Notamacropus eugenii: one gene and its partner. The protein of the gene in region 1 purifies or fractionates together with the protein of each later gene. This does not show direct contact. Links are inferred from orthologs where the notes say so. Each region holds a gene or a part of one and is shown in the gene's direction. Other genes may lie near its edges.

The links. Proteins that work in one complex are often made in the same cells at the same time.
Region 2: the proteins of STK40 (region 1) and TRIB1 purify together in Homo sapiens (affinity purification with mass spectrometry; 3 studies listed by BioGRID and IntAct, counting the BioPlex papers as one, with this or other methods). This does not show direct contact. The link is inferred for Notamacropus eugenii from reciprocal best matches to the Homo sapiens genes STK40 and TRIB1.

What each region holds. Positions count from the first base shown.
Region 1 is NC_092876.1:83,285,202-83,292,935, forward strand, and holds the start of STK40 (serine/threonine-protein kinase 40), read left to right. Parts: upstream 1-4,491; 5' UTR 4,492-4,497; coding exon 4,498-4,516; intron 4,517-6,812; exon of another isoform or gene 6,813-6,968; intron 6,969-7,734. UniProt on the Homo sapiens protein: May be a negative regulator of NF-kappa-B and p53-mediated gene transcription.
Region 2 is NC_092875.1:118,540,312-118,548,419, reverse strand, and holds the start of TRIB1 (tribbles homolog 1), read left to right. Parts: upstream 1-5,081; 5' UTR 5,082-5,228; coding exon 5,229-5,573; intron 5,574-8,108. UniProt on the Homo sapiens protein: Adapter protein involved in protein degradation by interacting with COP1 ubiquitin ligase. The COP1-binding motif is masked by autoinhibitory interactions with the protein kinase domain.

The sequences.
Region 1 (7,734 bases):
GGTTTGTCCTTCATTCTCAAAAAGGACCAGTGATATCAGAAAGATGATGCCATGATTCACAAGTGAATTGGGTTACAGTGAGAGAGGGCTGTGCAGCGTCACCAGCCTCACCTTCTCCTCCAGAGCCATTGGGGCCCAGTGGCCAGATATAGAGCAAGACAACTGGAGATGGCCCAAATTTGAAAAGTAGTCAGGGAGAATAGCGAAACTCACCTTGGACACAAGGATGGCTGTAGGGAAAAGAGCATGGCCATCCAGGACAGCGTTTGTTTCTTTCCGTGTAAAGCTCAGGTGAGAAACAACATGGACTAGTGGAGGGATGGCCCTCCTTGGATTTAAGACCTAAGCTCAAGTCCTATTTCTGATGCACACTAACTGCCACCATGGGCAGATCACTCAACCTGTCAGTGGTTTAACCAATTCTCTAAGACTTGTCAGTTACCCTGAAATTGCCTCTGTGGAAGTACTTTCCATATCTAAGATTCCCAGCGATGATGTGGACTCCCCTCTCCTCACACAGGGTTAATATCTGCATTACCGACTTTGCACTTCTGTTGTGGGGAAAGCAATTTGCATATCTTAAATGAGTATGGAAATGTGAGATTATTATTAACAGTGTATAAATCACTGGATTAACCTAGAAGACAGGTTGGTGAGAAATTAATATAGAATTGAGTTAAGTAGCAGGCTAAAGGGTGACCAGCCCATATAGGCTACAAATGAGTGTGCCTACCCCACCACCACCAAATTTCTGTTACAACAGTTTAATAACAATAGTCATCAGCGTTTAATATAGTGTCATGAGGTTTGTGTGTATTATCTCATTTAATACTATATGCCAAGCTTTTTAGCATTGAGGAATAGGCTGCTGGACACAAAATGAAGGGTCTGGAGTTTCATTCTGTTTCCTTTTCTGTAGAGGAAAGTAATGGAAAGGGAAGAGAGTTAAAGAGAGTAAGGAGAGCTTAGTCCCGATTTTGCCTTGGCATATCCAGATGGAACTGCAATCCCCTGATTATGTCCCAACTGTTTTACTACGCCCTCAGCTTGAGGGACAAAGAGAGAGGCCTGCTCTCTCCCTTCTACTTCATCAGAGAAATAGATGTAACCACTGGTTACAAGCACCTGGTGAATGGAAACCACCCAACCTGCCTATTGCTCATCTTACCCTAGTTGAACTAAAATTTAGAGATCATTGTTTCCCCTCAGGGAAGAAGAATGAAGGTGTGGTAGTTAGCTATGGGTTCAGATCTCAGTTTGACCTGGGTACAGGACTGAAATCATCCACCTCTGCCTTTTTTTTTTCTTCCTAATGGAATGAGCAAGTGACCAATCGATTCTGAAAGACAGGAAGAGGCCTCAAGAGAACAACTAGCCCAAGTATAGGAAACTAAAGTCCAGGGAAGTGTCATGTCCAAGATCAGAGCTGGGGCTGCATGACAGACTTATAGGATCCAGAGCCAGAGTGAACCTCAGCAGTACCTAGTCTAACTCCCTTATTTTACAGATGAGCAAACTGACCAACAAGGGTAAGTGACTCACCTAAAATCATGCTGGTGGTGGCAGGTAGGGTTTGAGTTCAGATCCGCTGACTCCAGGCCTATATCTACTGATTCCCAAGCCAGAGGTCTACTTCCATCACATTAATGACAAGGATGAAGAGAGGAGGCCAGATAAACAAACCTGTGTTGGAAACTCATCTGGTCCTATAGCAGCCTCCCCCTAGGAGCCATGGCAGAGAAATGACTCCCACCATAGGGCATTGCCATATATCCCTTGCCCCCAGCCCATCAACCCACCCCGTGCTGGGGAAGCCCCCACCTAGGCTGGTGTCAGAGGAAGGGTAGAGTTGAGAGCCTGAAGGGACAGGAGGTGAGTGAGCATGCCTGTTCCCTCCTCCCCTTCTCTTCTGTGACAGTCACCAGCTGCTTTGGGAGCCTGTGCATCGTCAGCCAGCCATCTCAAGCTGTTGTGACAGGCGTCATTTTGTTATGGCAGTGCTGTCTGCATCCCCAGAGCAGAAGATGGAGTGTAGAGTGTGTGTGTGTGTGTGTGTGTGTGTGTGTGTGTGTTGCCACACACCAATCTCCCCACATCTATGTCCTGCTGACAGCTCCCCGGCTGGCACCTTTGGGTTGAGTTGGGTTTTTCTCATAGCTTGTAGTCATGTGTCCTCTTTCTCTTTCTCTGCCCCCTTAAAGTCCCATATTTTTAATCAGCTGTGGAAGGGGGATGGGAGGCAGAGTGTAGAGGGGAGGGGAGAGGAGAGTGCCAATGTCAAAGGAAAGAAGATAATGAGTTCCTTGGAAAATCCAAACTCATACTGTTTTAGGAGACATTCCAGGGACTTTCCAGTATCCCAGCCACATCCTGTCCCATCCCCTGAAAAGGGAAAGTAGCATCTCAAGGCAAGGCCATCTAGGCATCCCTTATTCAACCTCTCCTAGCCACTCAGCCAAATCCCTTGGTATTCTAAATCAGGAGGGCAGATCTAGAAGCAGAGAAGCAAATTAATACTCAGCTTGCGTGACAATTCCAGCTTGCTCAAAGGGGAATGGGGCTGCCTTCAGAGAGAGTGAGTTTCCCATCACTGAGGTCTTGAAGCACAGGATTGATGGCCACTTATTAGAGTACAATGTAGCAGGGATTCCTGCCTAGGTGCAGGTTGGACTAGACCAGGACTTCTTAACTTTAGATTGTGCCTCTGGGTCCCTTCTCAGGAGAATGGTTTTAAATGCACAGGAGGAAACCAAAGGTTAATAAAATTAGGATGTAATTTCCCAGTCTAGTTGTTGTTGTCCAGTTTTATCTGACTATGACCCTAATTTGGGATTTTCTTGGCAAAGATACTGGAGTGGTTGGCCATTTCCTTCTCCAGCTCATTTTATAGATGAGGAAACTAAGGCAAATAGCGTTAAGTGACTTGCCCAGGGACTTAGAGCTAGTGTCTGAGGCCAGGTTTGGACTTAGGAAGATGAGTCATCCTGACTCCAGCCAGGCCCAGCACTCTATCCACTGTACCTTTAGCTGCCCTGTCCAAATTCATAGACCCCATGAAGTTAGTGAGTCTATTGACCCCAGATTAAAAACCCCTGAACTAAATGGTTTCTGAGGTCCCTTCTAGCTCTGAGATTCTGTGAAAGATTTTATCTAGCAGGTTTGCTGAAGGACAAACCTATAATCTCCACAAACCCTTTCCTTCTTTGAAACGTTAACCCCAAAGCTATGTATTTGGTTACAACATCTGAGGCTTGTAAGTGTGAACACCTTTACATGGCCAAAAAGCAAGAACAGGAGAACACTGCCCTGAATCCTCCTGCTAAGAAATGGGATTTCTTAGCCAGGTTGATGTCATATTATAGCAGTACTGTGAATGGGGACTGGGAGGAATGAGGGGACCAGTCCCTTGAAAATGTAGTAGGGAAGAGGATCAAATCACACACATACACAAATACACACATGGACTCATGCCTACTTCAGGAAAGAGAAGGAAATCTTGTCTTTAGGACATTCTCCCAGGAGCCAGAGCTGCTTTCCTTTGGGTCTTCATGACACCCTACGCTAACTTCTTACCCCCTAGCTGCTGGTGAGGATTGGGATGAATAGCAACAAAAGAAAAGATAAGGGGTGAGACTATTGAGGAGGCAGGATGGTGCAGTGGAGAGAGCGCTGTGTTTAGGGTTACAGAATCTCGGAAGGGGCCTTAGAGACCATGCAACCCAGACCTGACCAAGTTGCTTAGAGGACCTAGGCTCTAGACCTAGCTCTGCCACTCTGGCCTCAGGCAGGCCCCTTCCTTTCCCCTCTCTTGGGCTTAATCTTCCCATTTGTAAAATGGATTAGATGACCTCTAAGTTCCAAACCCCATGAATTGTCCAGCAGCAGGACTTAGCGTTGTCCATCAGCTGAGTGGGAGACTGGATCCCACAAAAGATTTATAACCACAGAGGTTGCTCAGCCACACAAATACCCATGCCCACAGGCATCCAGAAACTGGCATACAGAGGGACAGATTTGATCCACGTGGCTACACAAACATCAGACAAGGAGACAGTGAAAACCTAACACACTCAGGGAGAGACATGGAAATACCCCTACAGAAAGATTGAAAGGGAGACACACACATAATCCATATGCCAGCACTCTTAGCTTCCCACTTCTCCCCTGGAGGCGACAGCCCTCTGGGCTTTCCCTGGAGGAGGGATAAGGTGGGGAAGGCAGATTGGTTGTGGCCAGGCGAGGCGGCTCAGCTTCTCTGTTTGGCAGATCCTTAGCTCTGGGAGGTACAACAAAGCCCAGAGAGGGCCATGAGTCACCTAGCATGATGCAATCTCTTTAAAGGCCCCATCTGCTGCTGCTGCAAGAAGCTGATTCATGACGGGTGTGGTTGCTGACACAAGAAGGGAAATAGGCTGCCGAAACTGCAGCAGGAGGGACTGAGGTTAGACAGCTCAGAGCCATGAGACATGGGAACAGGTGACTGAGAGGATCCTGCCTATGGAGTCAGTAGAAACAGGTGAAATTTGTCAGAGCTGGGGGAGAGGGAGGGAAGAAGACTGTCTGGTCTTGTCCCTAGAGACCTGAGGCTTCTTAGTAGAACCTGTCAGCTTCAGCTTAGTCTGCGATTCTGTAGAGCAGGGGTTCTTAACCTAGGGTCCATAAACTTGGCTTCTTTTTTTTTTTTTTTAATATTTTGATAACTTTCAGTGTAATTGGCTTGCTTTGTCACCCTGTGTATTTTATTTCATGCATTTAAAAATATTCTGCCAGATGGGGTCAGATCATGTCAACGAGCATTTATTAGGAGGTGCCTACCATGTGCTAGGCCCTGTACTGAGGGTACAAAGAAAGGCAAAAGAGAACTCCTGCCTTCAAGGAGCTCAGTCTAATGGACTAATGCATCTAATGATGTCTAATGGGTCCATGACACCAAAAAGTTAATAACCCCTGCTGTAGAGGAAATATGGGGAAGGATAAATCAATCTACGAATGAGGATTTATTAGGCAACTGTTCTATTAACCAGGCACTGGGCTAGGCACTGGAGATACAGGTACAAAGAATGAAACAATAACCAAACAAGCTTTCTATTCTAATGGGAGAGTAAACAAAGGCATACACAAATATATGCAGCAAAAATGTAGAGTCAACACTTACAAATATACTGCATATGTGTACATACATATGTGTGTATTATATATGTGTATGTATGTATGTATATATTATATATAATAACATATTTTTTTAGAGTTGGAAGAGGCTTTAGAGACCATAGGATTACAGATTTACAGATGACAGATTATCTAAGGGATCATAGAGGTCATCTACCTTTAAGAGAGGTTTCTCATTTTACCGAAGACGAATAGACCCAGAGAAGGGACTCCAGAGCTCACAACTGGTGAGCAGCAGAGCCGAAATCTGAACTCAGGGCCTCTGATCCTACATCCTCCAGCTTTCCCACTGTAGTACACTTGGTAGCCAAGGGAATAAATGGGATGGAAGGATGTGGCCCAGTGGGCCAGAAGTAGGAATGAATGGATGAATGAGCATTAATTACTATGTTCCAGGCAAACAAACTGAAAAAGGAAGATAGTCTAGGCCCTCAAGGAGCTTCTACTCTAATAGGGGAAGAGAGGCCAGGTGGGAATGGTGACCCCATTATGATTAGGGGTGTCACAAGAGGGCTGTGAGGCAGTGTGACATTCTGATGGCTTGAACCACGAAAGCTGGGCTGCTTAATCATGTCAACAAGTCTTCAAGCATTTATTAAGCTCCTGCTGTGTGCCTGTACTGCTAAGCGCTAGGGAAAACAAAAAAAGCAAACCGTCCTGCTCCCAAGGAGATCACCCTCTAAATACCTGCACAATCTACCTGCGGGCCAGGGCTTTGTGTCTGGAAGTGTGGGGCTGTCCTGTCCAGGAATCTTAGAGCCCTAGGCCTGGAGTCAAATCTGGCCTCTTAGACATGTTAGTTGTGCAACCTGAGCAAGTCACTTACCCTTTGCTTGACTCAGTTTCCTCATCTGTAACATGGGGATAATAATAACAGCCCCTACCTCCCAGGGTTGTTTACAGTGAGATAACAGCTGTAAAGCGCTTGGCACAGTGCTTGGCACACAGTGAATATATATAAATATCAGTTATTATTATTATGGGGACTATAAACACATGGCTTCAGAAAACTCATTTCCAGAGGATAACTGGGGCTCTGGGTGTCGCGTCGCTTTTCTGAAAAGTACGGTATTCCCCGTGGTCGACCCCCTCTAGCCCGGCAGCCCTGAGTAACTGTCAAACCGTCAGAGCGGATTTCCGAAGGGGGCGGGAGGTGGGTGCGACTGGGTGATTCAGGGCTCTGTAGGATTCCGGCGGGGGTGGTGTGAAGGGCGGGGCTAAGCCGTCACCGTCTCCGTGGCCTCACCCCCGAAGGAGCTAGAGCGGCTGGGCCCGCCCCCTTCCTTAACCAGCCACCAATCACCCCTCTCCTTTCGGCCCCGCCCCCACCAAGAGCCAGTCTCCGTCAGGGTCCGGCCCCTCAGATCTGAAGTCGAACAACTTCCGCCCTGCACCAATATGGCCGCTCTCCAAAGGCCAATCAGCGGCGCGAGGGGCTTTAGACCGGGGTCCGGATAGGGAGCCAGCCGGCCGTCGGCCGTCCCCACTCCCTTCCCTGGAAGAGAAAGGCGGAGCTCCGAGCCGGGGGGGAGGGGGGGAGGAGGGGCTGGGTCGTGGGGGTGGCGGTGCGTCATTTCCGTTGTCAGGTGGCGGCGCCGCAGCCATGGAGGGAGGCGGCGGCTCGGGCGGCGGCGGCGGCGGCTGCGGCGGCGGCTCGGGCGGCTGCGCTGGGCGGCGGCGGTAGAGCGGCTCTCCCGCCCCCGGCCCCCCGGCCTCCCGCCCCCCCGGGACGGAGCGCCGAGCAGCCCCCGGCTCCGGGACGCGGACTATGGGCGAGGAGCGCTGAGCGCCGGGGGAAGGTGAGCGGAGCGGTGGGGGGGGGAATCGAAGTGGGGTCTGCAGCGAGGGGGACTCAGCCTGAAGGGGGCCCTGAGGGGGGTCTTCTCGGGGGAGGGGGGAGTCCTCCTAGAAGGGGGCGGGGGAGGACCTGCCGGGGGCGGGGTGGGGGAGGGGGCTGCCCTGGGAGTGGAAGGGGGGGCTACCTAAGACCCCGTGTTTAGGGCCAGTGCTGGTTGTTTCACCGGAAGGCTCTCGAGGTAGGGGCTGCTTTCTTGTCTTTAGCTCCCTGAGCCTAGCCCGGTGCCCGGCACCTAGTAGAAGCTCCATAAATGCGTTTGATTGATTGATTGATTGACTTGGTTGGTTGGGGCGAGGGGCAGCCTGGAGGTCTAGACTCCGTAGAAGAGGAGAGCCGGTAGAGAAAAGGGATGGACAGAGAGAAGGATGGGAACATGCTGGAGAGGAGGTGGGGCTGCGATGGCCAGGTTACCTGGGCTAGAGAGGTGGGGGTGGGGAGTGAATCCGGGAGGAGTGATTAATTAGAATGGACCGAGGTGGTGGGTTGGTTCGGGATTGCCGAGGGGCCCTGGGGAGCTCAGAGGTGGTGACCGTGCTGTGCCCTCGGCCCCCCGGGGCTGTGCCTTGCAGCCCCCTCAGCTTCTCGAGGACCGAGTGCAGAAGTGACACGACATTCCCTCGGGTTCCGCAGGTGATAGAGGAGCCGGCCGGATGGTGGCCCAGGGTGCTCTTCTGATCACGAGAGCCTAGGAAGGAAGTGGGGGGGGG
Region 2 (8,108 bases), on another chromosome or scaffold:
GTTTAGTGGTAAGAGATTGGGGAGGGTAAACTGATCTATTACAATTCCCCCACTACAGAAGAACTCACAGAATAAATACTTATTGAATAAAAGAATCACAGAAGGTTGAGCAATGAACACTGAACAAAGACTTGCTATCCAAATATTGTAGTGAGAGGAATTTGTGTATTATCCATCAGCATAAGAGTAATGATAATAACGGCATTTATATAGTGTTTTAAAGTTTGCAAAACACTTTACAAAATATCTCAGTGGATCCTGATGACACCCCAGGAAGGTAGGCACAGACTTGCCCAGGGCCACACAGCTTGTAAGCGTCTCCCGTCTTTCTGGCTCTAAGCCTAGAACTCCATTCACTACATGACCTAGCTGCATCATCCTTAAAATATTCTGCATCCTTTGAAGAGGAGTGGGAGTAAAAGAGATCATGAAAGAATTGTATAACCAAAAGAAAATTGGTCGTGTGGCAAGAAATAGCGGAACAGCCAAGGTGCTCCACTAATACCCTCTGCTTGTTCAAATGATCCCATTCCAGCCAACCTCTTCCAACAGTTTGCCCTCTCTGGTCCCCACTCTATCCCTTCTTCAACTTTTCCCAGTCTACTAGCTCCTTCGCTATTGCCTACAAACATGCCTAAGTCTTCCCATCTTAAAAAAACCCTCACTTGTCCTTCCATTTGAGCTATCATCCCTTATTTCTGCTGCCCTTTGTTGCCAGATTCCTCAAAAAGGCTGTCTATCATAGGTGTCTCCAATTTCTCTCCTCTCACCTTAGGAAGTGGCTTCTGATGTTATCATTCCATGGAAACTGCTCTCTCCAAAGTTATCAATGATCTCTTAGTTGTAAAATCCAGTGATCTTTTCTCCATCCTCATTCTCCTTGCCCTTTTGGTAACTTTTGACATTGTTGTTCATTGTCTTTCTTGATATTTTTTTCTGTATTTTTTGGGGGGTTACCACTCTCTTCAGGTTCTCTTACCTAACTGCTCCTCTATTCCTTTGCTGGATCCACAGTCAGATCATGCCCTCTCTAACTCTAGGTGTCCCTCAGGGTCCCTTTCTCTTCTCTGTCTATATTCACTTGTTATCTCATTAGCTCCCATGGATTTAATAACTATTCTCTATGCTGATGACTCTCAAATCCACCTTTCCTGCCCCCAACCTCGCATTTCTAACCATCTTTTAGAAATCCTTAATTGCATATCCAGTAGACATATTAAATTCAAATGTCTAAACTGAACTCATTCTTTCCCCCTAAATTCTCCCTCAACCTCCTACTTTCCCTGTTACTGTAGAGGGTAATAACATTCTTCCAGTTTCTCAGGCTCATGACTGAGGAGTCATCCTGAACTTCTCTTTGTCTCTCTCACATTTCCCCCAGCTCCTACATCCAAGCAACTGTCAAGCCCTTTGCAACATCTCTTCAACATGCCCCACTCTACTACAGACCCTTATCACCTCATTCCTCAATTACTGGAAGAGGCTGCTAAAGAGCATGACTCAAGTCTCTCCTCACTCCTCCATTCGGTCACTAAAGTGATCTTCCTAAAGCACAGGTTCAACCATGTCACCCCTTCTCAATAAACTCCACTGGCTTCCTATTGCCTCCAGGATCAAATACAAAATGCTCTATTTGCATTCAAAATCCTGCATAACCCAGCCCCTGCCTACATTTCCAGTTTTCTTACACCTTACTTTTCAGTACATGAACTTAGATCCAATGACACTGGCCTATGGGCTATTCAACTAATAACTGAATCTCTTTTCTTCATCTCTTGATTTTGGGCATTTTTTCTGGCTGTACCCCAAGCCTGGAACATTCTCCTTCATCATTCTTTCTGGGGACCTCCTTGGCTTCTCTTATAAGGCCCAACTAAAACCTTACCTTCTACAAGAAGACTTCCTCAACCCTTCTAAAATCTGGTGCCTTCTATCTCTTATTTCTTTATATTACATGTATACATGAATATGTGTGTATGTGTGTGTGTGTATAGTCTCCATTAAACTCTAAGTTCCTTGAGGGACTTTTGTCTCCTTTTCTACCCTCAGCACTTACCAGAGGCTAAGTAGTAGGTGTTTAATATCTGACTAGATGAGGAAACTGAGGCCTGGGGAGGCTAAGTAACATGTCCAAGGTCAGTATTCTTCTTTTGCTACCAACTTCAATGAGGTTAATTTTAATGAAGTTAAATTAATGAAGCTGAAATAGTAACAATTATAATACTTGCATCTCTATATTGCCTCACACTTTACCAAGTCCTTGCATATACTATCTGGTTTCTGGTCCCAGGTCCACTAACAAATTACCTGAGGCAGTCACTTCAGTGTTCTGGTCCTCGGTTGCCTAATCTGTAACTTGAGGAGGGTTAGGCTTCACCTTCTATTCCCAAATGGTTTAAAAATGCTGAGTGTGGGGCTCATTTGACCAAGGAAGGCTTGTCATGACTTCTCCAGAAATTTTTTAAAAATACGCAATCGAATGGCATTTTTCAGCATCTCGGCTTTCCCTGGCTTGCTCGTTGTTCCCTGAAGCCAACATTCCACCTCTTGCTTCACTGCTTTTCAGCAGGCTGTCCCCCAAGTTGGAATGCTCTCCCACCTCACCACTAACTTCTTGGAAGGCCCAACTCAAAGGCCTTCAAAAGGCTTATCGGGTTATTTATCCGGGCTAACCCCATTCCCTAAAGCCTGTTTCCTTGTGAGCAAGGTTAGCTAGCGCAGGGGCCGAAATCGTCTTTTTCCTTTGAATTTCTAAAATTTAGCTCCGCGGTTGGTACACAGTCGGTGACGAGTAAATGCTTATCGATTGATTTCCCTCTTTATCTTTGGGCAGGGAGGGTGATATACGGTGAGTAATACCTTAAGTGGAAAGTCCCTCAGCCTCTCTAGACAGCTTATGCCGGTCCTTTGTCACCTAAGGTGACCTTGATAACGAGATCTGAAGCCAGGGAAGGAATGTTAATGCTACAGTTGCTTTATCTTTGTGGGGTGGTGGCTTGGAGGGACAAGTGCAAGGAAAATATGACTATTATCCTGAACTGAGGTCACTGTCTCAACGTTCTAGGATGGTTTTCTAAAGGGAAACTGCCGTTTCGCTAGGTATGTTTAAAGACGGCTTTATATGGAAGGGGCGAAAAGGAAAAGGAAAATGTGAGGTTACTTGTGATCATGCCCTAGGTTTGGAATCCGGGCTCAGCCAGCTGGTGCAAGCTTTTCATTTTCCTGGGCCTGTTTCCTCATTTGTAAAATAAGGGGGGGGCTGTACTAGATGATCCCCAAGGCTTCCAGCTCGGAATCGCACGATCCCGCTCGTGGTGGTAAGGGACGGACCAGGAAAAGAGCGCTGCGGGCGCATCCTGGGCACAGCGGAGGGAGCGCCCGGCTGGCCCGGTGCCCGCGGACCCTGGGGCGAAGGGGAGAGGGAAGAGACGAGAACCAAGCGCTGCCACGTGGGGCCCTTCCGCTGGCCGGGGCTCGGGCTTCTTTGTTTGCACGCCGCCCTCCTCCAGGAAGCTCCCGAGTCCCCGGGAAGGAGCGCTCCAGGAGCTATTTCCGTGCCACCCCGGCTGCGGGGCGTGGGGGAGCCCGGAGGAGGAGGCGGGGAGGATGGCAGAGGCGCTCGGTCTGCTTCCACGTCCCCCAACGGAAGGCGCTATTTGTGGAGCCGAGCACACCCCGGAGGGAGGAGGAGCGGGGGAATCGCATCCACATCCACTCTCGTCTGCACAGGACTTCCCCGGAACGGCCGCGCGGGGGAGGCTGCAGGAATTCAGTCGTTCGCCAGCGCTCTCGCTCCCTCCTTCCCCCGGCGGCTCGAGCTGCGCGCAGGCCGGTTTGGGGGCTCTGTCCTCGGCTCTCCGGGGCCCGTCGGGGGCGGCTGCGTGGCGCAGCCGAGTCCGGGGCAAGGGCGAGGCCCCCCTCCGCGCCGCAGTCATCGGGCTGAGGCCCGCAAAGGCCGGGAGCGCGCTCCCTGGCACGCGCTCCCTTTCTTTCCCTCTCCCTCAGGACCCCTAGAACGCCGCTCACGCGCTGCCCTCCCCCCACCTTTCTCCTCCTCCTCCTCCGCAGCCCATTGTACTCCTGGAGCGGAGACGGTGAATCGCCGCGGAGTGAATGGGGGGAGCTGGAGCCAATGAGCGCCGGCCTCGTCTAAGCTCCGCCCCCAAGTCCCTCCTCCTCCCCGCTCCCAAGCCCAGCCCGACTTCGGTGCTCCTGGACTCTAACGTCACGGCAACTTTTAATCCTTCTCTTTCCCGGCCCGCGGGTTTGGCTCAGAGAGGCCGGGAGAGCGAGAGGGAGCGCGCGGGAGCTTCCTCTCCTGCTGCTTCCTTCTCTCCGCTCCACTTTCTTTCTCGGCACTGCTCGGTGCGTGCGTGGGGCACGGCTCTCTGGCCCCAGCCTCGTCCCCTGCGCCCGTCTGCCTCGACGCTGCCCTTCCCCCCGGACCCCTCCTCCTGCTCCCCCGGGCCGGCCCTCCCTCCCCGCGCTGCTCCCTAGCGGGCCGGCTGGTGGGCCGAGGAGCTGGAGCCGTAGCACCTCATTGCACAACCCGGCTTCCCAACTGTTTACATATAATCGGACTGTGTGTATACAGCGTGAGTCACCGCCGGCGGAGGAGGGGGAGGAGGAGGAGGAGGGCCCAGCCTGGGATCGGCGCGCCGCTCACGCCCGCTCACACTCACTCACTCTCGCTCAGCCAGCGCGGAGGCTCCGGAGCGCGGAGGGGGACCGGCGCCGCCAAAAGTTGCCAAGGTGCCTTTGCCCGGGGACTCGGGCTTCGCGTCTCCGCGTTCCTCCGTCGGCCGTGCCTGCGGCTGCCGAAGCTTCTCTCCTAGTCCGGAGCCGGAGCGGGGGGCGCGCTCCGCGCAGACCTCCCTCTGCCCGGATCGTCTCTGCAGCGGCGGCGGCAAGAAGCCATCCGAGCCCGCCCGCGGTGCCCACCGCCAGCCGGGACTCCCGGGACACCCCTGGCCCGAGCCGCCCCCTCGGGGTGCGGGCGAAGACAGAGCTGGCCCCCGGGCTGGCCAGCCCCGGCCCCGGCCGCGTCGTGGGCTCCCTAGAGCGGTTCCGGCCCGCTTTGCCCCCCGTGGGGGTGAAAGCCCGAAGACCTCGAGAGACGCCCCGGGCTCCGCTGCAGCCGTCGGATCTCCGGACCTTGGGGCCCCGCTCCCAAGCCCTTCCCGGAATCCGGGCTTTAACCGCCCCGCTCCACGGGCTCCGGGACCTGGATGTGTTCCCTGCGCCCTGCCATGAGCCGCAACGTCCAGCCCCGAAGCCCGGGCCTGCTGCTCCCCGCTGCCCGGGGCTCCCCTTCCAAGCGCCTCCTGGACGGCGACGAGGCAGCCGCGGTGGCGGCCAAGTGCTTGCGGCTGTCCGAGTGCCCGAACCCTCCGGACTACCTCAGCCCCCCCAGCTCCCCCTGCACGCCCCCGCCCGCTCCCTCGCCCTCGGCGCCCGGCGGCAGCGCCCCGGGGCCCAGCCGGATCGCCGGCTACCTTCTGCTGCCCATGGCCGAGCGGGAGCATGTGTCCCGGGCGCTGAGCATCCACACCGGGCAGGAGTTACGCTGCAAGGTACGGCCGCCCCCCGGCGACCACCCCCGCCCGGAGGCCGGGGGACGCCGCGTGGGAGAGGGGAGGGTGGACAAAGGTCTGGCGGGATCTTCGGTCGGAAGGGACCTTAGCCATTGATTCATTCAGCCCTCTTCCCGAGTCACAGGCTCGTGGAGGGCGCAGTCACGGTCAAGGCTCCTCAGGGAACGAACTGGGGAGAGCAGGCGGGGGGCTTCCACGGGGAGGAGGCAAAGCTTTCCGTGGGGATCTCAGGTGACCCGAGCGAACTTGGAGTGGGGGAGGCATCATTTCCCAACCACTTTTCTTCCATTTAACAGCTGTCCTCTTTGAGCAGTCTTTACCTTCTTCATCCCAGGAAAGTAATTCATCCAGCCCCTCACCCTTCACTATCAGCCCCATTGGGTGGAGGTACCTCCTTGGAGGCTGGCACGGCTGCCAGCTCGGAGCCTGCTGGCGTTTTGGAAGGGCTAGGACTTTTCAACGGGCACCCAGTAATAAGCCTCCGGGGGAGAGAGGGTGGGTCCCAAGACCTCTAAGATCCCGATCCTGGGATTCTGTGACTCCCCACCAAGGGCCTGAAACAGAGAGATTCCAACCAGTATCCTTAGAATTGACACTCCCTGATAGAAAAGTGAGGAGCCCGGCCCCGCTGGAACACTCATTCACTTCCTTTTAATTGGTGACATGGATTTTCATTTTAACATCGAGAATATAAATTCCCAGAAACAGGATCCGCAGTTTCCTTCTGTAGCGCACCCATCCTCTAGACAATTCCAACAAATCCAAAGCCACCCAGAGAATCCCACAAATGCACAGTCTCCTCGCCCCTTTGCCTGCTTCCTCTTCACCTGAACTGAGGGTTCAGCAGTTGGGTCAGCTTGATTTTTTCTCCTGCTCACCTGACTCCATCTGAATGGAGTTTTTGTCATTGAGTTTGGCTACCGCCACCTGCTGTCTGACTTCAGGGGCATTTTAAATGTTTTCAAAAGCTGCATTTAGGGAATGAAAAAGGAAAAAAAATCTTAAGTGACCAGTCTAAAAGGGCACTTTGGTAGAAATGTCTATGGATAGTGGTAATGGGGGGCTAGGGGTGAGGAGGAGGAGGTTGGGGAGTTGCAGAAGGGTTTTCCTTGCTAGCCATCTATCAGACTGGCACAAGAGATGGGGTGGGACCTGAGGATTGTGTAATCCTATCCAGTTCCTCCCAACAGATAATAGCTGGATCCAGATGGTGACGGTCCATGTGTCACCGTTTCCAGTTGAGTCTAGGATATGAGTAACCCTGGCAAAAACAAAAGGCCTTTAAAAGAGCACAATTGGTTTCTTAGAGAAGTTACCCATTCCCTGGGAAGGGAAAAAAAATCAGTAGATTTAAAACTCCTCCTTTGAAAGCATTTACTCTGAGCTTTTGAGAAACAGATGAATGATGGTTATACCTGAGTCACCCTTCAGCTTGCTTAAAGTGCCCAGAGCTGTGTCATAGACTGATTTATATTTTTTCTCCATCTGTCTTTGTCTCTTCCTTTGTCTCCGTCTCTCTTTGTATCACTTTGTCTTTGTTTCTGCCTCTCCGTCTCTCTCCCAATCATCTTTCTCCTTCCCTCCAAATCACGTTCTGCTGTTTTTCCTTACCTACCTTTCCTTACTGCCTGGATCTTGCAGAGTCCCCATATTCTTTGTACTTTGTATGAGCACCCTTCCTCTCTAGATTGCTAAGTAATTGACAGCAACAGTTTTTAAGCCGTTATGGAATAAAGCCAGGATTTCCTGATGCTGAGCTGGGCAAAAGAGACAAGGAGTGGACCCAGTCTCTAATCAGTCGTCGGTGAACACTGAAAGCATCCACTGTGTTCAGAACACTATGGGGGGATAGAGAGGGATTGAATACTGGATATGCTTGCCTAGCTGGATCTGATTGTTTGGGGAAATGGGGCACACTAAGAGGAGTCCTCTCAAGTAGGTAGGACTGGTGGATGGCTGCACTTGGAGCTTAACCAATTCTCTGGATACTTAGTAGGTATTACTGGTTTAAAGTATTGGCAGAGGCAGTGTGAAAGTGGGAGGAAGGATGTGACCCAAGGAATAAGAGTTTAACACAGCTTCAGGAATAGATAGGCACAACTCTGGATATCATCCATGTGGAAGTTAAACATTCAAGTTCAGCTTGAATGCTGAGAAGCAGCCTCTCTACTTTTTATCATAGAATTTAAAGGTGGACAGGATTTAGAGGTCATCTGGCCCAACCTCCTCATTTTACAGGTGAAGTCATTGCAATTGAGAGAAATTAGGTGATTTGCCTAAAGGTTACATAATCTGCAGAACTAGAAATCTAACCCAGGTCATTCAAATCATTCAATTCCAGTTCCAAGGATATTTTCAACTCTTACCATATTGCCTCTTGAGGGGGTGTGTGTGGGTATATGTGGTGTGTGGGTGTGTGTAACATTACCTAGTCCAGCCCCCCCCCCCTTATTTTTTTAAATCTGTGGCTGAGGGACAGAGAGGTGAAGTTAACTACACTTGCTCACATAGCCA